Linked DNA regions of Oreochromis niloticus. The protein of the gene in region 2 purifies or fractionates together with the protein of the main gene of each other region. This does not show direct contact. Links are inferred from orthologs where the notes say so. Each region holds a gene or a part of one and is shown on either strand. Other genes may lie near its edges.

Region 1 (7,955 bases), on a different chromosome or scaffold from region 2:
CACAGCTTAAATGTGATCGTCAGCCCTGAAAATCCGACGTGAACACTCCAGTACTCAAAAATACTGGAAAAGAAAAACAGTTCTTCAACAGCAAACCCCAAATCCTCCAACATGTCACCAAGATCATCCTAAAATAATTAATAAATCACAAACGTCATGAAAATATAAATAAAATAATGTTTATTTCCAAGAGGCATAAAAAAAGCCACAATTTGATAAGCAAAGTGTGCCTGTTATCATCAACATGAACATCACAGCAGGTTTCCTCTCTGGACTCTCTGATTAGTTTACTTCTATATAAAACCAAAAAAAGGGATCAAACGACGACGTCCAAACCGTCTTTGAGGTTAAAAAAAACAAAAACTGCTAATGACTGATCCCCAATGTCAAAGACACATTTTCAGAGACAAAGAGAGGCTGCACAAACTTAACCCAAAACCAGAACTACCCATTCATTGTTCTCCTTACCCCCCCACCCCCACCCCGCCCCGCAGCCCCGTCACTGCTTCTGCTGCATGGCTTCTTTCCGTGCAGCGTCCTGCAGCAGCTGAGTGTCCACTTCATCTGCCGGCAGCTGAACGTAACGGACCACCGATCCACGGATGAAGCAGTTTTTCACAGACAGCTGCAGCAAATGAAAACAGTCAGTGTGAAGACAGACAGCCGTCACTCTGTGCTGGAGCTGCTGGTGAGCTTTAAGGAGTGCACATCCAAGGACTTTCCTAATGACTGAACTCGTTTCTGATTTTATGCAACTTTTAAATAAGGAGCTAAAGTTTATAGTTATATTCTTGATGTTGTATTATAAAAATATCCAACTTTTCTTTTTCCTCTTGACCTCAATAAAAACTGAGCAGCAGCAAATGGAGCTCACATACAAGATGAAAACAAAGACTGAAATCTTGAAAGCTTTATGTGTTATAATACATGAAAAACATAATCAATGTAAAAGATATTTATGTAAACATATCTGTATATAAACTCGGGAGGAGCTGTTGTCTGTGTGTCTTTTTTGGGGGATAATTGAGCCCCTAAATATTTATCATGCATCATTCTGTGTGGAAAACAGAAGTCCTGCGTGCACTCTCACCGCTGGAATATTTATCTAATCAAAAGGTTCATCAGGTAGAAGGGCGACATTTCTACATTCTCACATACAGCAGCAGAGAATTTAGTTTCTTTTACTGGTTGTACAGACCTCTGTAGCAGAACCTTAAACCTTGTAAGTACACTGCAACAGCTCTTTTTTCTGTACATTGTAAAACTGTAAACACCTGTTTAGCAGCGACAGCCTCATCTGTTTCTTTAGTCTTTTTTTCCCCTGTATTAAATGTGGAAAGTCTCCAGAAGCAAAACTTACCATGTGTGGATATTTCTCCGGGTCTGTGACGCTGATGTCTGTGAGCTTAATGTTCAGGTACTGAAAGCGATGTGAAAACGGCATTTTAGTGAGCAATCATGCAGAAATGTAAAAGCTGAACAGCTTCCGTTTTAAAACAAATGAATTATTTCCAACCTGGTCAACAGAATGAAGCGTTCCACAGATGCTGAGGAGAGAAACACACATTCATGAACATGACTCTGTTCACAAATACAAACCAAAATTGCTCAATTAATCTTTAGATTATGAGGCTTGGGAACAGCTCATCAGTATTTGGGTGGAATTTACGGTCAGGTGTGCCCAGGTAAAGCAAACGCAACTTCTGAGGTTTTCTTTCTGACCTCAGGATTTCCATGCCACTTATTGATTAATTTATGGATATTTAAACATTTATTTCCACAGGTCTGGGTGGTGAAACAATAAGAATTATCACCAAAATATAATATTTTTAATACATCTATGTTTTGTCCACATCTGCAGTTACTTGCACATATTTTAGAAGCTGTTCTGGAAACGACAGGCATTAGCACAAACCTGTTGTTACATTTTAAAACCGTCACTACTGACAAGCATCAAGACCCTGCTCCAGAGTTTAACCCCGAGACGGGAACAGTTTGACTTAAAGAAAATCTTATTGTAGTTTGTTTGATCTACTCCGTCTATGACATATAAAAGTTGAATTAATCTTAAAACAAATGTAATTATGCGGCTGTGACCTGACAGGCTGCAACCTGGATTCATAATCTTGCTTTAAGCTACATTTAGTCCAGTTTCAATTGAAGTCACTTCAGATTTTATTGAGAAAAACAAAACAAAACACATCTCCAGCAAGAAGTCAACCACGACAATCATTTCATCAGTCATCAGTGTGACCAGTTACAAGAAATAAAACTGTTTCATGCAGATTAGTTCCATTTAAACAGTGACAGCTACAGTAATACGTAATAAATATTTCAGTGCTGAGCTCATAATGAAGACCCAGAGCCCACTGATCGCTGTCTAAGGCCTTTCACTGAACAACCACAGAGTAAAACACACAGGAAATGTTGTTGGCTTGACTTTCTGATAATGTGTATGATTGAGAGTCATCTGTTTGTGTTGGATTATTCTTGCAGAATCCAATAAAACGGAACTAAAGCTGAGAAGTATTAAAAACTGCTGCAATGAAATGAAGTGAAATTCAAATGAAAACTAATAAAAATTAATATTCAAATTGTGACTGTGGGAGCGCTGCTGCGTCTATCAACAAAGCTCCAAACAGCGATCGCCGACCAAACAACACAGGCCGGAAAACGGCAGGTTATGTGAGCGAATTGAACACGAATACTAACCTCAGGTCATTTTTGAGCTCCACCACGACGTCCTTCCCCACCAGCGACTTGAAAAACGAGTAAAAAAGCTGCGGAGCAGAAACACATGCTAACGTTAGCTGCACGGTTAGCGTTGCGGCCGGTTTCTTTTAAAGCTGACAGAATTAAGGTCACAGAGACACACCGAGGTGTGCCCGGGTCAGAGGCTCTCTCCGGCCGTACGTATCTGCTATAAACTCTACAGAAAAGTCATAATTTCATCGTGATTCCTTACCATTCTTACTGCTGCCCTCTCCTAGCCGCGCGTCGCCTGTCGATGACGTAACAACCCCTTAATATTTCTGAGACACACCAGGGTGTAATTACTAAAGTTCGCCACACAGAGGCGACAGAGCTAAGCTCAACGTTCATGTATGGGAAACGTTGCTTGCACAGGTGTTTATCTAATTGACTTAATTTTATTGTGATTTCAAAAAAATAAATAAATAAATAAAAACTTCATATGAAAATATATTTCAATAAAATAAAATAAAATATAATTTAAAGAGACAATAATAAAAAAAGCTTAACACTGTCAGTTGACATTAAAAAAAATTGCTTATGGAAAATACAAACTCTTTTTTTCTGGTGCAACCAAAGACTAAATAAATATGCAGTAACTGTCTGTAATTGAAAACAAAAATTCAATTACAAAGTGACAATGACAAAGTTCAAAGAAAAATACAAAATACATTTTGAAAAAACAAATTTACAGAAATGTAATTACAGGGACTACGGTGGCAGCTGTCTTTGCATTGTGCATTTTTTTTCTGCTACATAAACTAAATAAATATAATTTAAAAGTCATTTTTATTAGAAAGTTCATGTTTTGTTTTGGGTTTTTTAAATTAAGGACCCACACCCTCTCCTAGAAGAAGTCATTTGAAACGTTGGATGCATTTATTATAAACTTCCAACATATAACATGAAAGGTAAGGAAAACCTTCTAATTCTCAAATACTCAGGGTGGAAAACACAGCAACCGCTGGTGTTATATCAGTCATATTTTAAAGTCAACATATGTGTAAAATATATGCAGTGGAGTACATTCACACACTTGGACTTCATCAAAGACTTTGCTCTTCTCTCCTCAGCCAGTTCCAGAAGAGTTACCAACTAAACCAACAGAACTGGCTCGGCTGTTAGCCTCAACATCAACACCAAGAAAACACAGCCAATGTACACCAACACGTCTTCAACCATGTCTATAACTATTGGTGACCTGATGAAAGTTTCGTGTCTTTTGACTGTCTTCCCCAAATATGCAGCATCTTCCAGCCAAACAAATACTCAAACATGGAGCTGCACAGAAGAACTGGGGTGTGTAAACATGTGTCATGAAATAAAGATGAGGAGCTTTAAGGTGTGTAGAACATGTAGTAAGCATGACCCTTTGATGGAAAGAGGAAGAAAGGCAAACGAGAGATGAGTGTGCTGGCTGAGCTACAATAGCCGGGTCTCTCATGGGAACAGGAGCAAAAGCAGAGGCACAAAAGCGAGATGGGTGGAGGTTACAGGCTGCAGCCTTACAACAATGAAGAGGCGTAGCAGTAGAAGCAGTTTGTAGTGAAAGTGCACATCAGGAACTGTGCCACCTCACCTTTTTAGTCACAGCTGATTAAAGAGAAAATGTAGATGTATTTCCAGTAACACCAAGCTAGAAAGGCCCCTTCTCAGACTGCCTGCAGTTCCTTTACGGACCAGCAGATGGAGGCAAATCACTGCAGTGTGACCGGTCTGGTCTTCGCAGCAGATTGCAGCGGCCAACACTCCAAGTTTTAAAAGCAGTCATTTGTGACTTGACATAAAAAAGACATGCACACACACACACAAAACATGTAATTCAAGCTTTAATATTGGAATTCATTGGAGCATCATTTGTACATATTAAAGGCAAACATGTCTGTGCAAGATAATACTGTGCGGTAAACATTCATCAGCTACTGTATAGTGTAAAAACTCCAAATGAAATGTAACAGTTATTTTAGAAGCAGGTTCCAGGTTCAAACTTACGTTCCAATGTGAGCTTTGCAGAAGTCCGAGAAACTAAAAAATGAGTTTACATACATTTGAAGGCTGAGTTAGACACTGGTACGCCCATTTAATGTCTCACTAGCACTTAGATAAGTAGATAACTAAGCTAACTACAAGCCAGTTAGCTTAGCTTAGCATAAAGACTGGAAATAAAGAGGAACTGCTAGCCCGGCTCAGTCTAACTTAAAAAGTGAGTTTTTGAGGATGACAGGCAGATGAATTTTTTAGACCTTTGGACAGGTGCAAAGCTAAGCCAACTGACTGCTCTATAATGACAGCACAGATATGTGATTGTCCTCTAAAATGAGTGACACCAGTAGCAAGGGGTTTTAAAAAATATTTCCAGGAATGCAGCCAGGAAGGTGTACCTCTCAGTCTCACTTCACAGGGCGACCGATCTTGGAAACGTCTGGATGCACAAAAAAAGACAAAGAGATGTCATTTAGTGTATTATAGCTGTCTGGAAACCTGAGGATGTTCCTTGCTGTCTTTGCAAGACTCACCAGGTCTTCCTGGTGGTCTCTGTTTGCTGGTGAGCTCTGAGGTGTCTCTGTAGTCTCTTGGTTTGGGGGTCTGGGGCTCCGGCACACCCGGTCGGGACTTAGCAGGCAAAGGAGGCCGGCTTTGGCCCATCCCGCCTTCTGAGCGTGAGGGCACCACTGGTTTCTTTTGTGATGGGGGATGCAGGCTGACTGGTGTTGGAGGCTGAGGTTTATTCTCAGAGCAGGTGAAGGAGCGGTTGCGTGGGGTGGGCACTGGAGGGCGATCGGTATCTCCGTCTGCTGTTTTGGAGGATCCAAATAGCACATCTGGGGGTATGAGATGGTCCTTCTGTTGTTGGTCTTGGTCTTTAGACCGACCATGTGATTTGGTCACTGAACCATACAACGGGTTGTCAAACATCTCTGATGTCTTTCCGTTCTCACCCCTGTCAGAGAAATCATCGGTTAATGACATTGGTTTCCCTTTCTATAGAATCAGATCAGATAAAGGTTTGGAGGTATTTTTAGAAATGAAACTGAAGTCTCTTCAAACCAGAAAGAGGCTCACACTTACACAGAAGCAGGCTTTCCCGTGGGGCTGCGTGTGCTCACATCGTAACCCTTCTTTGGCTCTTTTCCTGCTTGTCCCCCAGAGGTAACATTTCGCGGTGGCATGCTGTAACTCCAGCCTTTATCTATCACATTCCCGCCTCTGAATGACACTCCCATGTAATTGGGGTTAGAAATATCATGTGGTTGGTTGCTAGAAAACCTGTCAACCAGAACAAAGAAGAAAAAAAAGAAAGAAAAATCACGCCCTGGGTAGTTTTGATGGTCCAAACCAGCAATCAAAATTAATCAGGCAACAGAAAAACTTGAATTGCAGTCTCATAGCTGCGATTTATGCCACCAGCATGACAATGGATTGTCTTGCTTCTCTTAACTTTGATTCATCTTCTCTCCAGAGTATACTCCATCTCTCCAGCATCTCTTCCACCTGCTCCCAGCTCTCACTAAAGATCGCAGTCTCATCTGCAAACATCGCGTATACAACGACCGCCTGACCTCATCTGTCAACCTCTCCATAAACACTGCAAAGAAGAAGGGGCTCAGAGCTGATCTCTGATGTAATCCCACCCCCACCATGAACCCATCAGTGCCACAGTTCCTGTCTTGGCATCCTATCATCAGCCTATCATATTCTCTGATCCGCAAAGGCACAGTGCAGCTCGCCCTGACCTTCTCCATACTTCTCCATCAACATCTTAAAACAAACATCCCATCTGTAGAGCTCTGTCTCAGCCTCTTTTCTTAACTAGCTTCAACAGCTTTCTTATCTTCATGGTATGCCACATCATCTTTATCCCCCTGTAGTCAGAGCTCTGCACGTCACCCTTGTTCTTGAAAATTGGTGCTGGCTAACCTTTTCTCCCTTCCTCGGTCATTCTCTCACTTTGCAGGATGATGTGAAACAATCTGGTGAGAAAGTCCCCTGCCCTCCATCTTCATACCTTCACAGCTATGTCATCGGGACCAGATGGATTTCTTTGTGCTTCATAGCTGCTCTCACTAATGCTCTGCACTTCTTGATTTACCAGCTTTGATCCATCTGCCCTCCTCTCTCTCATGTTTTACAACAATCAGCTCCTTCCATCTTCTCAACACACTCTTTTCATCTGTTAGTATATCTATCCATCTCTGCCTAGCCAATTTATACAAGTCCTTTTGCCCTTCCTTCATGTCCAGACTCATACACACTCACTATAAGCCTTTGCCACCTCTCTCTTTTCTTATCCTCCCTTCTTATACTCCTGTCGACTTTCTTCATCTCCCTGACTTCACAACATTTTTTTCTTTGCTAACCTCTTCATTTGAATACTTTCCTGTACTTCCTCATTCCACCACCATGTCTCCTAGTCCGCTTTCTTCTATCCAAAGGATACGTCCAACACCTTCCTGGAAGTTTCCCTCACTACTTCTTCATTACTCTACTTTTCCAGTCATTTGTAACCCTTCCCTACCACCCAGAGCCCGTCTCAACTGCAGCCTGAACTCTATGCATCATTCTTTCTTCTTCAACTTCCACCATTTAATCCCTAGCCCTGTCTTCACTCATTTCCTCTTCTTGATTTCCAAAGTCATCCTACAGCCACCCATCAGATGCTTGTGAGAAAACAGCAACATATGATGTCCCATACATCGCAAAGATTCAAAAGTATTAAAAATGGATCAACTTCCACGCAACAGGCTCATCTGTGTCACAAAACTTTCTCCCATAGTCATATTTTAACACTTACAAGTGTAGTTTATGGCTGTAAATTAAATTTAAACTCCAGTGTGCACAGTGTTCCATATAATAGTCTTTACAGATGCACACTGATCAAACATTTTCAGGTTCTGAAGAGGTTTTTCAAACTCTTTGAATGACTTTAATCACAGAGGGCGATCATAAGATACACAAAAATGTTAAAATATGACCATATTAGAAAATTATTTTGACCTAGAAAGAATCACAGCTTGAAGAGGTTTTCATATGTTTGTATGTTTGTGCAGCCACCTATCCCACAGGGTGATTAGAGAAATTAACCATATTACACTTTTTGAAGCTTTCTCCGGAGTTCCTCTATGTCAAAGAAAGACATCAAACTGGTGATGCTCCAAGTCAGGTACAGAAAAAATCTGTGCTGAATAAAACTTTGACTTTTTGCC
Region 2 (7,888 bases):
GAGCCTCCTCAAACGGTTTGCACTTCTCCATCTGCTGCAAAGCTTTCTTGTACTGATGCATAACCGTCTCAGGGACGCCATGTTCGGACCACTCCTCATATTCTGCGTAGGTGCCTTCCATGTCTACAAAGCAGCAGAGCACAATTATCACAGATTTTGCAGGAAATTTACTCTTTCAAGATTGGATATAAAAATACAAACACCGCAAATAATTACACAGTCAATAGTCATTTTTCAGTTTTGCAAAATGTTCTACTTTATCTGTTGCTTTACTTAAATTTAGAGATTCAAATGTTTCAGAAACGGCACGGCTCTCCACTCAGAGAAAAACAACACGATACCAAACCATCCGGTTACCTCTCTAGTAAACTAATGAGGAGTGCACTCGTCACCCTGACATGTTAATTTTATCCTAAAAGCCAGCGTCATAACTTTCTTTAAACCGGGTAATTTCTGACATATGGCTCTCGCAACAGGAATCTGTCTCATTTTACAGCAACCAGTCTGGCCAGAAGACACGTCATGCTTACCCATTAAAGGGATGGCCAACTGTCGGCGAAACAGTGTATGGATTCGCTCAAGCTGGGTCTTCAGCATCTCCTGTTCCTCATGGCTGGGAATCCTGCCAGGGGGAGGCTGAGAGGAAAGCCAGCAGAGAACATGGTGTTAAAGCACAAGCCATTCAGTCAAACATGGAAAGAATTCAAGTCAGCAATCTGAACTGAAGAAGTGTTATATTTGACAGCAATAACATGGAAATAAAATTATTTACACTAGCTTTTAATTTCTAAGACAATATGGCATATGTACACAATCAATACAAAAACACAAACATAGCTTATGTGTGAATGGTGAACTCTGTCCTAGTGACGGGAACACAAACCTGCACTGTGGACAGGATGGCGTTCTCAAACTCTCTGTACGCCTCCCACACCATCTGTCCCTTGGTCATGTGAAGCCCCACTGCTGTCACCGCCCTCTCAAAGATGGATCTCACCCTGTCGATTCCGCCCGGTGAGCCCATACCGCCGATCGAGTACTGCGCGTACTCAAGCCAGATATCGGGACCTGTGTGTGTAAAGTTAAATGTTAGGATTGTGTAATTACTAATCATCAGGCCGGAAGGTGGTGGCGATGGTGTTGCGCACTCACAGATATAGTCTTTAACAGCTCTCTCAAACAGCTCATATACTTTCTCTCGGTTTGGCTCCTCCTCAGTCAGACGGATTTCATCCTTGAGCCAATCCAGCCAGATCTCTGGGGGATTAAACAAAACAAGGTTTCAGTTGTAAATAATGCAGAGCCGCTTATTCCTCCAACCCCAGAAGCATGTCAGGCGTGCACCAACCTTCAGTGAGAGGGAAAAGCTCACTCATCTTCTGCCTCGCCTTTCGCAGGCGGAAAAGTTCCCCCTCTTGCTTGAGCAGCTTGATAAGATCCACATGGCAGTTGTAGTCGAAAGCGTTGATGGACAGCTGAGGAGTTACACAAAGATGAAGAAGGAATGAGATATGTGACAATGCACTTCAGGGGTTTTGTAGGCACAAAATCACAATCGGTTGGCATGTAAAAGCTACTTTAAGCTGTTCTCGCATTCACAAGAGGTCGCCACAGCAGATAGCTCCGCATATTTGATTCGGCCGAATTTTTACCGTTCATGACGCAACCTCTCCCAGGATCCCACCAGGGATCTTTTGTTTCTTAGGTGAACACATCAACTGCCACAATTGGTTTGCATGTAGGAAAAGTGTGTTACCTTATTTAATATATCTCTATGAATTTAAAAATATTTTTCATGAAGCTTGTTGGCAGGCCAAGATCTCTTTGGTGAAAATACAAATCTGTTATATGCAGAAAAATCCCTGCACTTAAACAAAGTGTATCCTAAACAATCCATGCTTTATTTTATGTGTTTACCTCCAATTTATTACCACCACAAAAGAAAATAAAGTTCACTTATAATTCATGTAATGAACTATGAGAGTTCTCTTTTAAAGTGTAATAACATTGTTGTTGTTCTTCTTTATTATTAACAGCTGCAAGACTACAAACTATAAAACTCAACCCACTCCTTCATGAGAGCATATGTTCATATTTTGTTGAGCTGTTGACTGAAAATTCAGGTAGTTTCGTGGGTTGCAGTTTGATCTGTTGGACTTTTGTGCTACATCAGTGAGACTGAATATTTAAAACATATCTCTGTATATAGCACAGTACAGTCAGCAGTACCACACACTGATGCTCGCAGAGGGACTCGTGTACAGTCATGCAGTTGGATCTATATTTGAGTGTATTTGTAGGTTGCTACACCTACTACACAGTCACCAGCGAAGCTGCAGCAGCACTCTCCGTACTTAAGACTACAGCAGATTCAATGTTATGTGAAGGGGTCAAACCCACTGATCACGTGACGCTCATTAAAGTTAGCACAGCGTGTACTGTTTTTGTTTGTACTGTACTTTGTTTCTAACCCACACTAAACGCTGGGATCCCACCGTGGACCGAGACTGCAAGAAAAAAGGCGCGTGTGAATACGAGGCACGCGAACTACTAGCATCGCACATTAGCAGGGCAGCTAATCACGACAGCTATGTAAATGACGTGGTTGTATATTTAGATGTTTTTGGTTAACGAGAGCTACCAACGCCACGTATATTTTCTGCCTTTACTCGACCATGTCATGACGGAGGAGTTCGCCGCTTTGACGCTGCCTACCCGATTGTGGCTGGCCGTGTTTACCACCCATTCATTCTCATTAGCCCCTCGGCTAACGCTGGCTAATCACCTGCTCCTCAAGTCGCTGGATCTCGGCTTCATTTTCTTTCTCGTCCTCTGACGAATCGTCCTCCTCGTCTTCGTCTGAATTTTCCACTCCCATGCCTTCCTCCTCGTCTTCGTCCGATTCCATCTCCCTCTCCTCCATCCCTGCATCTTCCTCCTCCATATCTTGCAACTGCGTTTGCTCTGCGTTGCTTGACGCTGCCATGTTGGAAAGGCTATCTGCCTGGTAACAGCCTGCTAGCAGCCAGCGGGACGATGAGAGGCGGAGCCCGTCAACACGGGTCACCGTCTAACCTCGCCCGTGGCCGCTAGTGGGCGCTCCCTAGTTGTGTAAAACCTTCTTCTCTTATTTGTTTGTCAACAAAAGCCGTTCGTGCTTCCTCGTGCTCACTCGTTGATTTCCGTTCGCAGTTGGTGCTGGAAACATGGCGAACGTCTGCCTACGAAGCTCCTCGTCCTTGCTGCTGTTTTTCAGCAGGAGGATTTTCAAACCGGAGCTGAGCGCTGTCTGCTTGTACCACAAAAAGGTAACCGAGTGAAAATGCGTCCAAACCCGCTGACGTCACCTTACTTAGAAAGAGTTAGCTGACATTTATCGTGTTGTTGTCAACTGGTAACAGTGCCCTGTCTGTCAGCTGCTACACCAAGAGAACAGAGATATATATTTTTTCTGATAAGTGTGGCCTCTCCCTAAGGTTGTGGACCACTATGAAAACCCGAGAAACGTGGGCTCCCTGGACAAAAACTCCAAGAATGTGGGGACTGGATTGGTGGGTGCACCGGCATGCGGTGATGTTATGAAACTTCAGGTAAACTGGAAGTCAGTAACAGAAACCAATCCATTATCATGTATTTGAAATTCCCATGTTTGACTCTGTTCTCTTTGCAGATCCAAGTGGATGAAAATGGAAAGATCATCGATGCAAAGTTCAAAACATTTGGCTGCGGATCGGCCATTGCTTCCAGTTCTCTAGCAACAGAGTGGGTGAAGGGGAAGTCGGTATGTTAAAGTACCAAACAAAGTACAGGCAACCAAAAAATGGACCCTAAAAGTGCTGTTTTCTCCACTCTATTGTAAAGGGTCTCATGAATCTGCTTTTGCCCTACAGGTTGACGATGCTCTGAAGATCAAGAACACAGACATTGCCAAAGAACTCTGCCTTCCTCCAGTCAAGCTTCACTGCTCAAGTAAGTTCACAGTCGTTATTAACATCTCTTAAGACAGGGGTGTCATAATATATATCATATATCAAATCTAAGGCCCGGGGGGCAGAATCGGGCCAGCAAAAACTTCAGTCCGGCTCACACTGGAAAATGTGAATTGTATTTTCATTTCAAGTTTTGTAGCTTTTCCTAATAAAAGGATCTCCACTGTGGCCATTCATACTACACCAAAATATTTTAGGTCAGTTAACAAAAAAGACAACAATTTCTTACCACTTAAGCACAAAGTGTCATGCTGGCCGATTTCTTAAATTCAATATATCAGCATTTCCTAATTGTGTAGAAAACCTGAGAAATATGATTTAAATTGCACTTTTCTTCTTACATTAAGCTATCTCAGGGATTAAATATGTAGTTGAACAGCTTTACAACAAAAAGATCCCTGGTCCAACCTACTTAAGATCAAAATGTGCTGTTAAGTGTCCAAAATAGCTTCAGGGCCATGCACACCATTCTTTTTTTTTTCCCAAGACAAATTCTTTCTCTTGCTCTGTTTGAAAGCACCTACATTTATGCTTTCAGATCAGGTGTTTCCTGTAATAAATCATATAATTTCAGCCATGGGGATGATAAAATCCTGTACGTTCTAGTGATACTGGATTTTATGAAAATTGTAGCTGTACCTCTAGGTATTGTTTTTGTGATATTTAACAGTGTTATGAGATTACACGTACAATAAATATATCTCTAAACAGTGTTGGCTCTCTCTGGGTACTCTGGTTTCCTTCCACAGTCCAAACACACGTTACATCCACTCATCATTGGCATGAATCTCATGGTAATTTGGGGCTTTTAATGATTTCTTTGAACTGTTGTTTTTCCGGGGTGGAAAATCTTTAATGACTTGATGAGTTCTTAGCAGGCTTGAGCCTCAGTGGTCCCTGAGTTGTTTCTGAACATCTTAACCAATTTCCTCTCATCTGAGGGTGACAGTTTGGGTTTTCTTCCAGACTATGACAAAGTCACAGTTACCAGATCCCGTTTGTGTCCTTTTAACCCTGTGTGTGAATCAGAGAAAGTCCAAAATAAATTCAAAAGAACAGTTCAAAGAAATCTTTAAAAGTCCCATATTACCATGACATTCCTCCCCACGACAAGTGTAAACTTCTGACCACATCTATAGGTTAACTGATGATGGTGTGAATAGCTCTGTTTCTGTGTCTTAGCCATGCAACAGATTGGTGACCTCTTCATGGTGTACCCCATCTTGCACTCTATGGAAGATTGGATGGATGAATGAATGAATGAGTGACTGTATTAATCACCCCTACATAATGTTTATATGAAATGAAATCAAATCGCCCAGTTATCATGAACTGAATGCTTTTTGTTTTCCATATTATGCTCATAGTGTCTCTAAAATCTTCTTTTTTTTTCAGTGCTTGCAGAAGATGCCATAAAAGCAGCACTGTCAGACTACCGGCTAAAGCAACAGGACAAGAAGGAGGAACGTGTTAAAGCCAGCAATTAATGCTTTTATTCACTGTCTATAATAATAGATTTATCCTATTGTTGGATCATGCCTCTCCTAGTGCCAGAGCAGTGCAGACGGGTCGCTGTAATCACATCACATTGGATCTTGCATCCGTTGGGGAATTCTCCACAGGTGTGGGATCAGTCTCTTGAGTTTAAGCCAAGGGTCCCATATTGTTCAAGTGCCAGATGTTAATAGCGTTTATGGATTCTTTTGCTTTTATCACACAATTAGAATTGTTTAATTAACAATGACTTCATGGTGAAGCTTAACACTTTAATACACACAGCATTAAAGACATCTTTAATGAAGCAGGGGTGTGGGTTTGTATATTTTGGCTATGAGGCTCTATCTGGCTCACTTGTGAGACAATTTAGGTCCCAGATGAAAGACTTGGTATGAGAATGTCAACAGTTAAAGTTTACATACAAAAAAAAGTTCAGAAAATTTGTATGAGGTGCTTTGCTTACTGTGAATAAACAGATTAAAAGACTTTTCAGTGTGTGTGTGTAAATGTCATCCTGCTGATCCTGAATCAGCAGGAGCTACCCTCTGCTGACGCACGAGCACCTTTTTCAGCACGAGCAGCACTGCCAGCATTACGAGAGCCACTAACACACACAGCACAACCAGCAGAGAGATGATCGCTGCAGTGGCCTGCTGAGTGAACGGCTGTGGGACGAGAGTGGGCACGAGTGCATCTCTGTGTGTGGAAAGCAAGAACTGTGTCCCCTCAGCAGGGGTTACATTACTCTGAGGGTATCGAGCTGTGATGTTGTCTCTGCACCTCTGTTCCTCCTCAGGGAGAGAAGTAGTAGTCTTTAAATGGAAGGGGCTGACTGACTGACTGTTATTTAGGGATAAACACTCCTCATAGGTAAGAGTCTCTAAAGAGTAGTGCAAGACACGTGTCTTGGGAGAGTCTTGATTACTGTTTAGAGCTTCGGAAAGCAGTCCATTAGTGGTTAGTTTTGATATTTTCTCTGCTGGCTGCGCTGTTAGCGTCCTCTCCTGTGCAGAGCTGAGGTCACGTTCATGTGTCCTGTCATTTGGCTTCAGGACACGAGGACAAATGGCCACGACAGAGAGATTCAGAAGCAGACGGTGGGCAAGATGATCAGGCTCTGTGCACACAATGTCTGTGGCCATCTTAAGCCTACCGCTCAGCAGCCAGCGGTACAGATATAGAATGTCACACTCGCACACCCACAGGTTGTTGGTGAGGTCCACAGATCTGAGACGTGGCAGGCTGTCGAAGGCGCTCTCTGGGACTGACCGCAGGCAGTTGCTGTTGATCTTCAGGACCTGCAGGTTGACCAGAGCAGACAGTGAGGGCAGGTCCAAGGCAGAGATGCAGTTTTCTGAGAGGTCTAAATGGGTCAGTGATGGTGGAAGATTCAGGGGGAGACTTGTAAGCCTGTTCCCCTTCAGTGTCAGGACCTGCAGCTTGTGGAGACCCTGAAGTGCCCCGGGCTGGATGGCACGAATACGGTTGTCCTCTAAGTCCAGGCGAGTGAGGTTTCCCAGCTGCCTCAGGACACCTGAGGTGATGTAAGTAATGCGGTTTTCTTGCAGCTGCAGGGACTCCAGGCTGGGAGGCAGGCCACGAGGGAAGCGGGCTAGCAGATTGTGACTGAGGCTAAGCTCCTGGAGGCCGGAGAAGGGCCAGAGCTGGTGGTCCACATTACAGAGCTGGTTTCTGGCCACAGATAGAGCTGAGGTACTGAGAGGAACCGAGCGAGGGAGTGATCTCAGGCCTAGTGACTCACACAGAACCAGAAATCCTGGGCGAGGGCAGCAGCACCCAGTAGGACAGGGAGACACTGCAAGGCAGGCTAGAGGACAGATGCAGAGAGCCAGCAGGACACCACATCTGCACCAAAGCATGACTCACTGCAAGAATAATGCAGGACAGAAGAGCAGTTAGATGCATTTAGAGGATATGGTTCCTCTAAAAGTTCTATAAAGGAAGGGGTATAATGTTATAATATGGCTTTATTAAAGGTTAATAAGCAGCTGAAAGATCCCTGGTTTGATCCAGGAAGGACAGCCAAATCCCACTGGGGTTGCATCAGGAAGTGCATCTGATATAGAAACTCTGCCAAAACAAACACGTGGAGCCATCTGCTGTGGTAATCCCTTGTGAATAAGGAAACAGCCAAAAGCAGCTTTATTATAGGTTAATGAACCATTTATTAACACCAGTACTCCACCAGCACACTCTGGTACATGTAATGACCTTATGGAAAAGAGCTGCAGAGTGTAAAAACCATTCATGGAATTGCCAAAACTATTTATAAAGCCACTTCTTACGTCTTAAAAGCCCATGATAAGGTGTCACTTGTTAGAAAGTGATGCCAAAGAGTGAAAACTGCCTCACTTACCATTCTTCTTTCTGTGTATTATCTG
Region 3 (6,781 bases), on a different chromosome or scaffold from region 2:
TTTAAGGATGCGCAGTGGTGAGCACGTAGCTGATCTTTTAATCGGCTCAGCAGGAAGCGGCAGCATCAGAGACTGACGGACCGGTGAGGTCATGGCAGCAGCTTTCACATTGTTCCTACAGGCAGATTAAACTTGTTACCTCAGTTTATCTGGTCTTCAGGTGATTTTATCCAGCTGTTTTTAACCATTAAGCTTTCCTCGCCATGGCCCTCACGTAAAACTTCAGTATTTATCGATCTGTCACTTCATTGATATCAGTGTTACTCACACCTTTAGTGTTCGCGCCATCTTTCCACCATCTATTTCCTCCCCGCTCTCAGACGTGTGACTGATGTAAGGATTCATTTAGAATTGTCATGTTATTGCTGGCTCTGCAGATCTTTCATTTAAATAAAAATCGCTTCTTGAAGAACTGAATCTTGGTTGTGGCATATTTTATCTCAGAAGCTATTCGATTTTTCTCCTTTTCTTCTCAAATTTAAGAATCTAATTTCTTTCTCATAAAGTTTTCACTTTTTCCTCTGATCAATATCCTCTGACTAAAAAATATAATTTGTCAAACATTTTTGTTGAGTAAACAAACAACAAAAACGCTTTTCTTTTTCAGAACACAACAAATTAAACTTTATTTATTAACAGTCTCACATTGACAAAAAGACTTAGGAGCATAAAAAAGTTCCTCTAACATTTTCATCATCTCACTTCTTTATTTATAAAAAGTACAAACAGAAAACAAGAGCCAGGAGTCAGAGACAGGAAGCAGGCGAGCAAGTTATCAGGACGCTCCGGCTCATCCCGGATAATTAGCACACCTGCTCCTAAAACAGACTCCCATAAACTTTATTCACACAACAGTTACGCTATCATCAGGGGTCAAAGGTCAGTGAACGACAGAGTTGAGCGGCTCAGCTCTGATGTTTCCTAAATCCAGAGTGGAGTCCGTCTCCTCATCGATCTCCCCGATCACCGCTCTGTAACCAAAACAAGAAAAAGTGCAACCAAGAAAACAAACGAGGGGATTACAAACAAAAACAAACAAGAAGAACAAATAAAATATGAAAGGAAAACAATAAACAATGATAAACAAATTACATAACAGAACTGTTAACAATATTTAAACATTACATTACATTAAAATAAAACAATGTAACGAATCTATCTATCTATCTATCTATCTATCTATGTAGGTATGGATCCCCACACATCATTTTCCTCCTTGTTTAAGAATAAGAGTCTTTCTCTTGGTTTTCCTTCATAAAAATAATTTTAAACAAACAAACAAACAAACAAAAACAAAACTCTGATAGGGGAGTTTTTTCTTAACTCCTAATTATTAATTACCCCATTTTGCAATAACAAATTATATCTTAATAAAATAATAAAATTGGTAAACCATGTTAATCTGATTTTGTAGATTAAAATTCACATTAAGGCCTTACTAATTTGTTATCTTCAGTATTGATTCATCATCAACAAAGGTCAAACGTGACTTACACATTGTCGCCTCGGACAATGTAGAGTCCCAGCACCACCTGCTCGACCCCCTGACTGGAGCTGAACACTCGCTCATGACTCTCATCCAGGATCAGGTTGATGGTCTGATCAAAGCCCTTCAGAGTGCCCTGAAAAAACAAACTGACATGAATCAATGAGGACACGACTTACAATAACAATAACTTACAATCCAAAATAATTCTGACTTCAGTGAATCCTGATTATTGTGAGTGGTGAAGTTCTGCAGGGCCCACTGCTGTTTAAAATATAAATGAATAACGACTTTAATGCTTTCATTGCTTCCAGGTGCACTTGCTTGTGTATGACACGATTTTAAACACACCAGGCTCTGACCAGTCTTCGGTATGCATTTGTCTCCAATATAATTTAAGAATTGATTAAAAGTTTTTTTTAAAGTGATTTTGATCCCGGGTGATCGTCCAGTAAAGGTAAGGATGTGTTCAGACTCACCACAATCATCCTGCCGTCCGAGGTGACAATGGCCACGGTACCTGGATCAGCACGAGTTAAAGAAACAGCACCTTTATGGACCAAAACCTCTCTAATATTATTCAGAACGTACAAATAAGAACAATTATCATAACACCAAAATTGAAAGCTATGCCGCCCACCCATTCTGTCCACAAGAGGCGCTTGTAACCTTAGCTTCTGTCTGTTAATGAGCTCCAGCTTTAAAACTGTAAGTTGCATGCTTCCAAAATTTAAAAAAAAGAAGAGTTTACAGTTTTTCAAAGTGGTCCAGATGTGATGAGTCCTGATGTGTATGTGTGATCTTAACATGAATCAAACTGTGAAATCATTTACAGAACTTCTCTGATCAGCGGGTCCACATAATACAAACACGGCAATAAAATCCCGAGATTTCCCTCATTTTAAATGTGAAATCTACATTTAAGAAGTCTGAACATGTTTTAACTCAGCTCTGAACAACCCGTTTCTCACAGACATCTCTGAACTGCCGCTAATTAACAAAACAAGTAAGCATGCAGCTAAGCTAACTAGCATTTTTCCATTCATTCAGAGGGTTTGCACATTAGTGGCTAACGGCGGAAGGATACGGTTAATGTAGCTCTCCAACGCAGTGGACATCCTTTGTCCCGGGCTCGGTGTCTATTTATCCAGTGGGGTGGTCGATAAATACTTATAGTGGTAGTCCGGTGACAAAATAAAACCGTGCGCACTCGAACAGCAGCAGTAGCTAACGGCTAACAACACACTGGAGCGCAGACTAGAGCAATCAAACAGTGAGCAGGAACGACAGCAGAGCGCCGAGCGGAAGCGTCACATCCGGTTTGTGTTAGTTCTCAAAAAGAAAACACTAAAAACTGCAAAATTTAAAGAAATAAAAAAAGGTGGGAAAAAATGGGAAATGCAAAAGAAAAAAATGACAAATTTACTAGAAAACATGACAAGTTTATAAGAGAAAAGACACAAAATTATGATACAAATTGGTAAATTTATATGATAAACTATTCTTTTTGACTATTTCTTTAATGACTCTAAAACATCTGAGTTTATTTTCTCGCTTTTCACCCTATCCCTTAATTACTATCTTAAATGATTTTAAATATTTCTTTCCTTCCTATGCTCCATCATAGTTAAGAATCATTTCCTGTTTATTTCAATATATTTTCAGAGCCCTCAGATGCTTCTTTGAATAGTAAAAATATTTATGACTCTTCTGAAATATAAACAAATGTGATCCACAAACAAAATGGACACCGGACGTGATGTCATTTCCTATAACTAGAAAAAAACAAACAAGAAAATTGGTCATTGTTGTATAATTCCTTAAACAATTCTGAAAAACCTAAATTTTTTACAATGATGATTACCCTCAAAAATAATCATTGAAAAGTCCACGTGACAAAGAACATCCTGCACTGCTCTGTTAACTTACTACTAGAAAAGTTCTTTTTTTTTTTACTGTTATGTGGTTCTCACAGGAAAGGATGATTAAAAAATTATGATGATTTTTACCAATATAAGCCATTACCGTATTATTTAACTACCAAATACAATATTAAGCATTTAAAATTAGCTTAACATGGAATAAAACAGTTTTGAGATCTTTGGATAATTTAAGGAAATCTAGTTAATACTCTCTAAATGCATAACTATTACGTACACTTTAATGTAATTTTGAAAAATTAAAATAGTGGTAACCATGAGTGGTAAGATGTATTTGAGGAATTTTCAGCACAGGATAGACAGGCAGGTCATCAAATTTGCTTTTCTTTCTGTCAAAGACATAAAATGAAATATGTATTAAGAAAAAAAAAATCAAACTTGTGAGTGTTGATGTCAGACAACACACAGAGTCCAGTTCTCCCAGCAGGTCTTCATCTTTATTGTTGCTCAGTAATCGTCCATACAAAGGCGGGTGGAGGAGAGCAGTGGAGCCCGACAGGACAAACAACAGGAACGTCATGCTACCAAAGTATTAAATTTGTACAAAAATACTTTACAACATCCCTGTTCCTTTAAAGAAAAATACAGTTTGGTTGGTTGGTGAAGCTACATGGAAACTAATCTGACCCACTATTTCAAATGGCAGTGCAATGCACGTGTGTGTGTGTGTTAGTGTGTGTGTGTGTGTGGTTGTAGGTGGGTGGATGTCTTGCTGAGGTGAATCACTAGAGTGCAAATCCCTGCAATGTTACACACATACACACACACACACCCACACACACTCACACATACAGGCTCTAACAAATACACACCCACACACATGGTAATGTTAATACATGCGCACAAACACAGTGTGTATGGCTTTAGGTCTCACTCATCAAACCCTTGTGAAGCCACACCCCTCAGCCCTGTGGCTTGTTCCCATTGGTGGAGCAGTTCTCTTGGCTGAACCTTAAAACACTAACATCTACGTGTTAGCCCTGAATTCAAGGCATTAGCTCTGTATTAGCAATGTGAACCATTTCCTTAGACCTTGTTAGGTCTCTTTAATCAACCTGTAGCTACTACCTCGCCTAAATGCTAGCCGCAAGCTAAATTATAGTTCATGTTACTCATGTGCTAACATAAACCACAAATCAGTAGAGGCTGACATAAAACTGACATACTCTCTTGTTAGCAGACATTTTTAGCTCCTTGCTCTTATGTTTACCTACAAACCAACCAAGCCCTTGCTATGTTAAGTTGTAACCACACTAGTAAATAAGTGTTGAAAAATTGTACAGCTAACTTACCATCCATGTACTATGTGCAACTAGCCACATGTTATAGTTATGTTAGCTCTAATGCTCTGCATCAACTACCACATGCTAAACTGTAGTTCTATTATCTCCCATGTTAGCTTTTTGCTAACAAGAGAAAAACTTTGTTTTGCAAATGTAAGCCCTATGTTAAAGGTCTGTAAGGGCTGTGCTGGTACTAGCCGTGTGCTAACATAAAAACTTTAGCTTTGGATAGCTCTTTATTCATATGCTAATTAAATTATTTTTATGCTTATTAACTAATAAATATAGCAAGAAATGGGTGTTACATATAGAAAGCCTAATTTTCTTGTTCTATGTGTATAGTCATGTGTTATGGTTAGACTAGCCCTATGCTCAGTGTCTGCTAGATACATACTAATCATATGTTAGTAATGTCCTCAGACCAAGTTAGGCTGCTCACTTGTCAGTTGAATTTGATGTGTGGTATACTGCTTTTGCTAAAATTAGAAACCGTAACTTAGTACTAACCATAAGCTATATTATAGCTCTGTTATCAACATGTAAGTTATGCATTAACATAAGCCAAAAATCAGTAAGAGATTTTCAATGAAGCTAAAATACCCTTATGTTAGCATTGTCTGTATTACGTAAACCCTGTGTTCAGCATCTGCTGGTCATATGCTAAAATGTATTTCTATTATCTGTTATGTTAGCCTAATGCAAATAAGAAAAAAGTCTTTATTTAACACATTAGCCTGATTTTAACAATGGGCACGAGCTGTGCTTAACTGTGTCCTGACATACAATAGGATGTTACGATAAATGTTAGCCTTGGCTAGCTGTTTAAATATATGCCAACCAAGTTCTTTCTTTGTGATTAGCCAATAAACATAATAATAAATGGATATCAAACACAACCAGCCTATGGTCCTTGTGTTATGTCTGTTATGATTACGCTAGCCCTTTGTTCAGTGTCTGCTAGCCATATGATAGTTATGTCCTTAGATCAAGTTAGCCTACTCAGGTGTCAGTGGAATACCACCAATAGAGCTGTTTCAGCCTTTTTATAGTCAAGATGCTAAAAGACATTCTTTAGCTCTACAGCTAACCATACCTTAGTGAAGTGCAAGGTTTGTGCTAACAATACACAGACTGTGCTGGTACTGGGCTAGCTGTGTGCTAACATAAAAAAATGTTGGCTAAATTTTATCTTTGGTTAGCGGTTTTTACCCATGTGCTTACAAGTCTCTTGCTATGTTTATTAGCTAGTAAACATAGTTAGGATAGTAGTTCCCTTGTACTGTGTATATAATTATGGTTACACTAGCCCTGTGCTCTGCGTCTGCTAGCTTAATGCTAACTACATACTAGCCATTTGCTTGCAAAAAAAAAAAACCCATCTGAGCATTTAGAAAATTTTGGGTAGAACAGAACAGCCAATGACAACTATCCACATAGAAACAGCCAATCAGAACGCTCTAATCCAAAGCACAGCAGCAACTATTGGACTGTTTGGCTCAGGGATGCTGAGGGAGGGTTCTGATTGGCCACTATAAATAGTGAGTTAAGACTAAGGTGAGAGCAGGAAGATGTTGACATCACTCGAAAATAAACACTCACTCACTCTCTCTCAGACACACACACACACACACACACACACAAGTGTTTACCGTCACAGGTTTCCTGTTTTAACAGGATTTTTTTCTTTTGTAACATAGTTTTTGTGATTATGAGATGGTGTTTTCAGGGTTTGATGGTTTTTGATGTGAACAGCGATGGGGACTGAACTTTTTTTTTTTTAAATCTATTTTACATATTTTCTGGTTCAGTCACCATGGAAACAAACAAACAAACAGAATTGACAACAGTCAATCAAAAAAACACACCAATTGATTAGCATAAGAGATCACTGTCACTGGGGCTGGGGATGGGGAGGGGAAGTCGGGGTAGGGGCATGCGTGGCTTCTTCCTGGAAGCTGATTGGTTGTCTTTGTGTGTGAAAAAGAACCAATCACAGACAGGCAGGGAAGGAAATGTTTATGTTTCTGATTGGTTCCAGCCAATCAGCTGAATTTTTCAGAACTGCCGTCCAT
Region 4 (7,317 bases), on a different chromosome or scaffold from region 2:
AGGTACAAAGTTTCTTCTAGATGTTCATGAATGTCATTAAATATGATCAGCAGCGACCTTGGATCCTGAATGTAATCTTTTCTTCCATCATATGTTATTTCCAAGTTGAAGAATAAACTAAACTAAACTTAAAGATAAGCTTTAAATCCAACACTGACGCCATCTGCTGACGAAGCTCAGATAACACAACTGAACGCACTGGAACAGACCTCACAGTGGGATTTTGTAATTGGCTGTAACTAAAAACGCATCTCTTCTTGACTTAACCATATCATAATAATAAGGGTGCTTACTATGAGTAAAGGGGTCTCGTGAAGACTTTTTTCTTTTGTTGTAATTATTTTAGATGACAGATGTGTGCGGAAAACTACAATATGCTGGTATTGTAGCTGGTACACGTAGTTCAAACTTCATACCACCACCATTCTATGTAACAACAGTCGCTACTAGCACTACTGACTACTGACATTCCCCTTTCTTAGGCTAACATATTTTATTTGTCAAAGTCTTAAGCAAACCTAAATATGGAACAGTCTTCAACTAGAGAATTCAGGAAAATGAAGTAAAAAGGAAGAAGAGCACTTAACTAACATGTTAACATAATACGGTACTTAGAGTTTGTGTATTATTTTAATGCTTTCATAGGCAGGTTATGATAATAATAATAATAATTATTATTATTATTATATATAGGGGTTCATTTTTAATGTTAAAGGAAACTTCTGTCACTTTCATTAAAAAAAAAGAAAAAAAATATAACTAATCAATGCCAGAGTATAGCAGTTCCTGGTGTCTCTGTTTTAAACAGCTTTTATCTGATTTTCCTTATTATTTATCTGTATAAAATTCCCAGTATACTTCCCAGTTCCTGCTTCAATATGCAACTGGGTGCAGTGTCTTTAAAGCAGCTCATGGGATCAAATTTCCACCTATTAGTTATTAAGGGGCAGGCTCATAACAAGGACCAGAGAAAACAAGCTAAAAATAATACTGACTTTCAGGACTATTTACTTCTTTTTAAAAACTCTAAAAATATGTTAGAATAAATATGTCTAAAAATACATTAATAAATAATGTAAGCTTAAATGGCAATGCCAATAACAATCAATGCAGAAAGAAGTAAAATACATATTCATTTATGAATAATTTGTTGCACACCTACTTGTATTTCAATACACACACACACAAACTCTCATACATATATAAACTTTGCACAAAAAGTAAGGACATTTTTGTTTGGTCAATTACTTCTTTGTTGTAACAATGTTTTTTGGCACTAAATCTTAAACTGTCAGAAATCCTGTTTATTTTCCTTTAAATGATGCCACATCTATAAGGAAAATGCATGTGTGGGTTGAGCAGGAGAGTAGAGTTTGTCTTCTTTTTCAATGCCAAACAGCTTATTCTGCTATTGATTCTAGTTTTGACACTCAGGTGCCATGGGCAAGTGATTAGAAGTACCCATAAGCAAGAACCCTGCAACAGTGATCAGATGTTGTCTTTTCCAAGCATGCTACATTTGACTGCTCTAGCTATGGTACCTTCAAGAAGGAGTTCTGCAAAACAAGCAATACTTGGAGTGAGCCCTAGCACCCTACAATCTCCAAGTTGAAGGCCAAGATCTGTATAACGGGGGATGACAGAGACCAAGTGGGCATCTGAAGACAACAACACCACACAAGACAGTTTCCTTGCCTGTCACCATAGCACTGACAGTCATTTACAGATTTGCAGTCAAGGTTTTCAGGACGATATGGCCGACAGTTTTCTACCCAGACAAACCAGAGCAGACAGCACACAGCCAGTCTCTATACTCATAGGGCTGCCTGGAGGCTTGCAGTGACTGCTCTTCCCCATCAGGCCTATTTGCACTGGCGTCAGCAACATGTCCACTGGAACCTGACAAAACATTATGTTCAGCTATGAACAAATTCTTCCTACATCGGCTGGATCATAGGTCAACTTGTGGAGAAGACTCGAAGAACGTTGTGCTGATTGCTGCACCAATAGGATACCAGCTTTTGGTGGAGGCAATGTGATCAGTTGGGTGTGGAGAGGATGGTGCCAAAGTGACCTACGCAACCACACTGGATGACTTGCAACAAATGCTGATTGAAGAATAATATGCCATCCCACAGCAGTATGTGATCAGCATGAGGTGGAGGTGCCAGGTCGGTGTGGTTGTGTATGGTTCTTCCACATGCTACTAAGGCTGCTGTTTGTTCAAAGAATAAATTGCCAGGATCTATTGATTCTTCAGATTTTAATCAACCAATCTAAGCTGTTTGGCATTGGAAACGATTTTAATGGGCACAACCCACAGACACAACTCTACTACTCAAACAAATGTGGTACCATTTAAGTGGAAATAAATAGGCCAAGAAGCATATACAGGATAATTCCCAAGTTTATATACACACTAAGTCATTATAAGTGTGCGTGTGAGAGAGATATCTAAGGTTTTCAAAAAGTTATTTCTCCAAATGCAGCTTGTTCCACGGGGTCAATAGATGAATAACAGTCATTTAACTAATTTATCGTACCATACTGATATGCATTTAGTTGCGGGGGGTATTCTTTTGAACAACATTGGGATATGTTCGATTCAAAGTCGACGTGCTTTCACTGTCCGCGTCAAACCTTAGTTCAACAAACTCAGCCGTATATAATGAAAAGGAGTATAAACGTTTTGCCAGTCTTATTGTATATAATGTATATCAGGCGTGTATGTTCTACAACAAGGTCGTTTAAAAGGGTTTAACCAGACTATGAACTTTATTGTTGCCACTGAGGAGACGCGGTAACGTTGCCGGTTAGCTTCAAAGTGTCTTTATAATGCTACTCACCTGCCCTCCAATGGTAATGTCGAAGAACACAACCGGGTTGTTGGGGTTTGAGGCTTGAATCGACATTGTCGTGATTTACCCGCTTTCTGAGACAACAAAAATGCAACTTTTGGCTGTTTACACAGCAATAATTTGAACCACGATCTGCGCTGTCGGAACTACGGCGTCTCGCGAGAGACGTGCTACGGATCCCTTCTGCGGACAAAAGACTTTCGTCACCAAAAGCGCGATTGTGCGGAAATAAATTATTACGGCGAGATTTCTGCTGATAGCAGCGTAAAAAATGAACAGTTAACAGAAAAAAAAGACTGAATTTGTCTTTACTTCTACTTTCTGTCAAAAAAATAATTGCATTTACAAGTATTGGTTATAACATAGTCCTTTCCATGTCAAATTCATTAAGCGTGTATCAACTGGTAAAGTAAGGTTGTGGTACTTAGTACAGGTTTTAATTAAAAAAGCATTATCTATAATCTCAAATCTATGCTTATAAATACAGCAGCAAAAATCTTTTACACGTGAAAATTCCCATTCAGACTAATTATACAATACAAAAATAGATCAATTTTTTCAATCACTTGAATTCCAGAGTGTCAGTTCTGCTCCGGTATCTGAAATTTGTGAAGAACATCACACAAAGCTGTCGTGGACCGCATCCATAAAGGAAAAAAAAAAAATTTAAAAAAAAATCGCTGTTCACAAAACTGAAAGTCTAACCCTCACCAAAAAACAAAGCCTAAAATGATAGATGCAGTAGGTTTCATGTGGATCTAGCAAGGGCTACGAGGAACTGTCAGCCAGGATATATATAGATGTAGGTGTGCACATTCTATAAGGCTGCATGACTACTAGATGTGTAGTTGAGACAATATTTTAAGACAGCATTAAACATGAAACTTTATATATTTAAGCAGGGCTCCCAGTCTGAAGAAGCTTTGGAAGTGGGGAAGTTTCCAAAATGAAAATGATCCCAGACAGACCAACAATTACCAAAGTTGTTTTAAAGAAGAAAAGGGAGAAAGTTATGACAAAGTATGCCCCTGATCTGAATCCAGCAAAATACATTTGAAGTATTTTGAAGTGTAAGGCAGAGGAACAAAAGTCATACAAGAAAGATCAGCTATACTAATTTTGACACCTCTGTGGGAAAAATCTTTCTGTTAAAGGTTTTATTTTCACAATAAAACAACATTTTTACAAATTAACAAACTGCAAAGACTGCGCCACAAAACAAATGACCAAATGCAAATTGACTGCAAAGATTTCTCAAAGTTGTACTAACTCAAGGTGAGAAGAAAATAGCAATACAGGTTGTCACAAACTGCTGTGAAAGCAGGAAGATAAGTACTAGCAATAGCAAAAAGCTCTAAAGAAAGAGTTTTATGTAAAGTAATAAGGTTTCTTCACATTCACGCCATATTCTGCGAGTGCAGGAGTCAGGTCCTCCATAGTCAATGTGTACTTCTTATCCTATACAGAGAAGGAGGAAAAAAATTATCAGGAGCAAAAATAACTGAAAGCAGATGAAAGGTTCCTCTTCTAGCAACACTCACACAGTGCTCTCTAAATATTGTACATCGTAGTTAAAGTGCCTGTTAAAATTAGACAAGCTTACCTTTGTCTTACTTCTTGAGCTTCCTGAGGCAGTGCCTTTCATTTTGCAGTACTGCAGCGCATCATTGGCAATGTCTGAGATAAACTTCTGAGATGCGAGGGAGATCAGACGAATTCTATGCATGGAAGAAAATAATTAATACCTTTTTCCCTTGATGTTTACAGCCCACCTGTATCCTTATTTTGAAAAACACCACACACATAAACCTCAGATTTTCTATGATCTTGTTCAGAGTGATCACAAAGCTGACATTAACGAGTCTTACAAGGTTAGAGATGTTGCATTTTGGTTAAAAGGTTAAAGCCAGTTTGTTTTAAGCAAATCTAAATCAGCCAACACTCCCTGTAACATCAGAAAGCACGGTGCAACCTAACTAATACAGCATTAAGATAAGAAATGCTGTATACCATTGGGAAATTCTTTAAATTATGACAATATAGTCATTTATTTGTGACTTCAACATGTTCCCATTGCCAGATTACATTAATTTCTGACTCATTCAGTGCCTTGAACTAAGGTTTTTATTGGTGAACTCATATTATATAAAGGCTTTTAAGTCAGCTGTTAAGTAAATTGGTGGCTATCAATCAAACCTCTGAACGTACCAACTATGAGCAGCCTTATGATTTGTGCTGTAATGTACTCCTCCATGTGTGCACACTGACAGATACAAAGCTGTTCCTAGTATACAATTTCTCAGTCTACCTAAAGGACACATGCACAGGTGGAGGTTTTTTACTGACATTACATTAGACATTACATTACACTGACATTAGAGCAGAATCGAGTGCATCTCACCCTCACATTTGCCTCTGATGACATTTTTTTTATCACTTAGATCCATGCATCCCTGCAGATGCCAAAAGATCTGAATACTACACTGCATGTACTCACATCCTTGGATCAGAAGCCTCAAAACCAGCCCGGTTGAGGTAGTAACCTGTGACTGCATCAGGAATCTGGTGGGAAAAAAACAAAAACAAAGAATAACTACTAATGTATATGTCACTAATATTATTAGTGCACATGTACCAATCAAGGACTGATTAAGAAACATTTCTGTCAAAAATGTGTGAAAGTATGATGTAGCGGGGCTAACTGACTTACCGTGGGAGTGTACTCTTCCAGCTGCATGAGGAAATCAGCCAGTGGCGTGGTGGAAACAGCAGGCTTCACATCTCCATTAGTGATGCCACCAGGAACATAGACTCCATTGGAAACAGATGTGTCTGCAGACGGTGTCACCACAGCTGATGAGGATGAAGCTATAAAAGACACATCAAGCAATGTCTGAGATAAACTTCTGAGATGCGAGGGAGATCAGACGAATTCTATGCATGGAAAAAAGAAAATAATTAATGCCATCTGTCTTGTCAGTCCAAAATGTGAACATTGGTATCATCAAAAGAGTGTAGCTGTGCATCCGCACCTAAAGGATAAGTTGTGGCTTTTGCTGCTTGGTTATTTGGCCAGTGGTGTTGAGGATTTTGGTAAAGTTGATGAAATTATAAACACACTTGAATAGGGTTAGATTTTGATATCCACCACAAAATACCATCTGGAAACAGTTTCATTTTTCAGCATGACAATGATGCCAAACACACTGCTAATGCATTTAAAAAAAAAAAAAAAAAAAAAAAACCTGGAAAGAAAAAATATACAATTAAGCACTATCAGTCATGGATCAGGATCCCAAAGACCAGACTTCAACTTTACTGAAACAGTCTTGGACCATCTTCACAGACAACAGAGCAAAAGGCAGCCAACATCCAAAGAAGCTTTAGATGTAATTCAAGAAGCCTGGAGAACTATTGCTAAAGAGTACTTAGAGAAGTAGTCTCCAATTTTTACATGAAAATTAAATCCATTTTAAGGATGGGGCCTAAGGGAACATCTTCCACCATCACTAATTCCCCAACTCTCTCTAAACAGTACTCATGGCCATTAATCAATGATCATGACAATTTGTATATTAGTAATCAGGAAACTGACCTAACAGTTAATCAGTTGCGGGACCCCACAGTCAGCTGAAACTGAAGAGGTCACTTGCATGAGTGACACAACATACCTCAACAGTCAGATAAATAGAATCAACTTTCTGTGACTACTTAAAGAACCTACAAGAAAGCTTGCCTGAGAGGATTCAAGGCCTTTTAAATAATAAAGGTGGTCATATCAAATATTCACTTTATTTTCAAGCTTGTTAGAATTGCACAAACTCTGTTTTTGCCTTATATACCAACATTTTTCAATGCACTGCACCCATTTCCAATTTTCCCTTGCAAAATATAAAGAAATCAGGGATGGCTTGAGACTTTTGCAAAGTACTGTACAAACAATCTAAAAAATTGCTACAATGGTTAAGTTAGTGCTACAGGCTTAACCTGAAACGTGGTACTTGGTAGGTTTTGTAATTAATATGTTTAAATCACTTTAAAGTGTTAGACGGCAATCTAACACTTTAAAGTGTTAGATTGCCGTCTAAAACCTACCTTAATGCATTACACTTTGATGCATTAAGGTAGGTTTCGCTGATGGTGTTTAGGTTAGTACGCGTTTCTCTCAGTCAGGCTTGGTATTGTTGTCAATAGTCAATGTACATCGTGGAAAGTTTCGACTTCCAGTGCGAGATGAAATCAGCAAATGCTCTCAGAATAATAACAAAGACAATAACAAAGTCACGTTACGTTACCATTACTCGTGACCGACGGGATGCTGCTCACGTTGGTTGTCGTATTATCGTTGGCAATGCAATTACTTGCCGTTGACGATGTGGTAGAAGGCACTCCTGTTGTTACAGACTGATTTACGTTGTCCATATTCATGCTGGCGTTAGCTAACGAGCTAACCGTGGTT

The links.
Region 1: the proteins of sart3 (region 2) and smx5 purify together in Homo sapiens (affinity purification with mass spectrometry; 3 studies listed by BioGRID and IntAct, counting the BioPlex papers as one, with this or other methods). This does not show direct contact. The link is inferred for Oreochromis niloticus from reciprocal best matches to the Homo sapiens genes SART3 and LSM2.
Region 3: the proteins of sart3 (region 2) and lsm8 purify together in Homo sapiens (affinity purification with mass spectrometry; 4 studies listed by BioGRID and IntAct, counting the BioPlex papers as one, with this or other methods). This does not show direct contact. The link is inferred for Oreochromis niloticus from reciprocal best matches to the Homo sapiens genes SART3 and LSM8.
Region 4: the proteins of sart3 (region 2) and ppih purify together in Homo sapiens (affinity purification with mass spectrometry; 3 studies listed by BioGRID and IntAct, with this or other methods). This does not show direct contact. The link is inferred for Oreochromis niloticus from reciprocal best matches to the Homo sapiens genes SART3 and PPIH.

What each region holds. Positions count from the first base shown.
Region 1 is NC_031986.2:32,801,500-32,809,454, reverse strand, and holds smx5 (smx5), read right to left. Parts: upstream 3,087-7,955; 5' UTR 2,969-3,086; coding exon 2,966-2,968; intron 2,781-2,965; coding exon 2,713-2,780; intron 1,548-2,712; coding exon 1,517-1,547; intron 1,421-1,516; coding exon 1,361-1,420; intron 626-1,360; coding exon 500-625; 3' UTR 164-499; downstream 1-163. Other genes in the region: inpp5d (phosphatidylinositol 3,4,5-trisphosphate 5-phosphatase 1), read right to left, coding at 5,142-5,173, 5,268-5,692, 5,821-6,018. UniProt on the Homo sapiens protein: Plays a role in pre-mRNA splicing as component of the U4/U6-U5 tri-snRNP complex that is involved in spliceosome assembly, and as component of the precatalytic spliceosome (spliceosome B complex).
Region 2 is NC_031977.2:18,325,303-18,333,190, reverse strand, and holds the start of sart3 (squamous cell carcinoma antigen recognized by T-cells 3), read right to left. Parts: upstream 3,013-7,888; 5' UTR 2,987-3,012; coding exon 2,786-2,986; intron 1,476-2,785; coding exon 1,349-1,475; intron 1,258-1,348; coding exon 1,153-1,257; intron 1,069-1,152; coding exon 884-1,068; intron 637-883; coding exon 531-636; intron 124-530; coding exon 1-123. Other genes in the region: iscua (iron-sulfur cluster assembly enzyme ISCU), read left to right, coding at 3,207-3,308, 3,477-3,590, 3,671-3,781, 3,891-3,969, 5,385-5,476; tmem119a (leucine-rich repeat transmembrane protein FLRT3), read right to left, coding at 5,996-7,366. UniProt on the Homo sapiens protein: U6 snRNP-binding protein that functions as a recycling factor of the splicing machinery. Promotes the initial reassembly of U4 and U6 snRNPs following their ejection from the spliceosome during its maturation.
Region 3 is NC_031981.2:20,046,381-20,053,161, reverse strand, and holds lsm8 (LSM8 homolog, U6 small nuclear RNA associated), read right to left. Parts: upstream 2,793-6,781; 5' UTR 2,605-2,792; coding exon 2,574-2,604; intron 2,007-2,573; coding exon 1,966-2,006; intron 1,623-1,965; coding exon 1,495-1,622; intron 972-1,494; coding exon 881-971; 3' UTR 600-880; downstream 1-599. UniProt on the Homo sapiens protein: Plays a role in pre-mRNA splicing as component of the U4/U6-U5 tri-snRNP complex that is involved in spliceosome assembly, and as component of the precatalytic spliceosome (spliceosome B complex).
Region 4 is NC_031984.2:24,225,243-24,232,559, forward strand, and holds the start of ppih (peptidyl-prolyl cis-trans isomerase H), read right to left. Parts: upstream 3,049-7,317; 5' UTR 2,913-3,048; coding exon 2,847-2,912; intron 130-2,846; exon of another isoform or gene 1-129. Other genes in the region: taf10 (transcription initiation factor TFIID subunit 10), read right to left, coding at 4,227-4,316, 4,462-4,576, 5,356-5,420, 5,569-5,726, 7,154-7,286. UniProt on the Homo sapiens protein: PPIase that catalyzes the cis-trans isomerization of proline imidic peptide bonds in oligopeptides and may therefore assist protein folding. Participates in pre-mRNA splicing.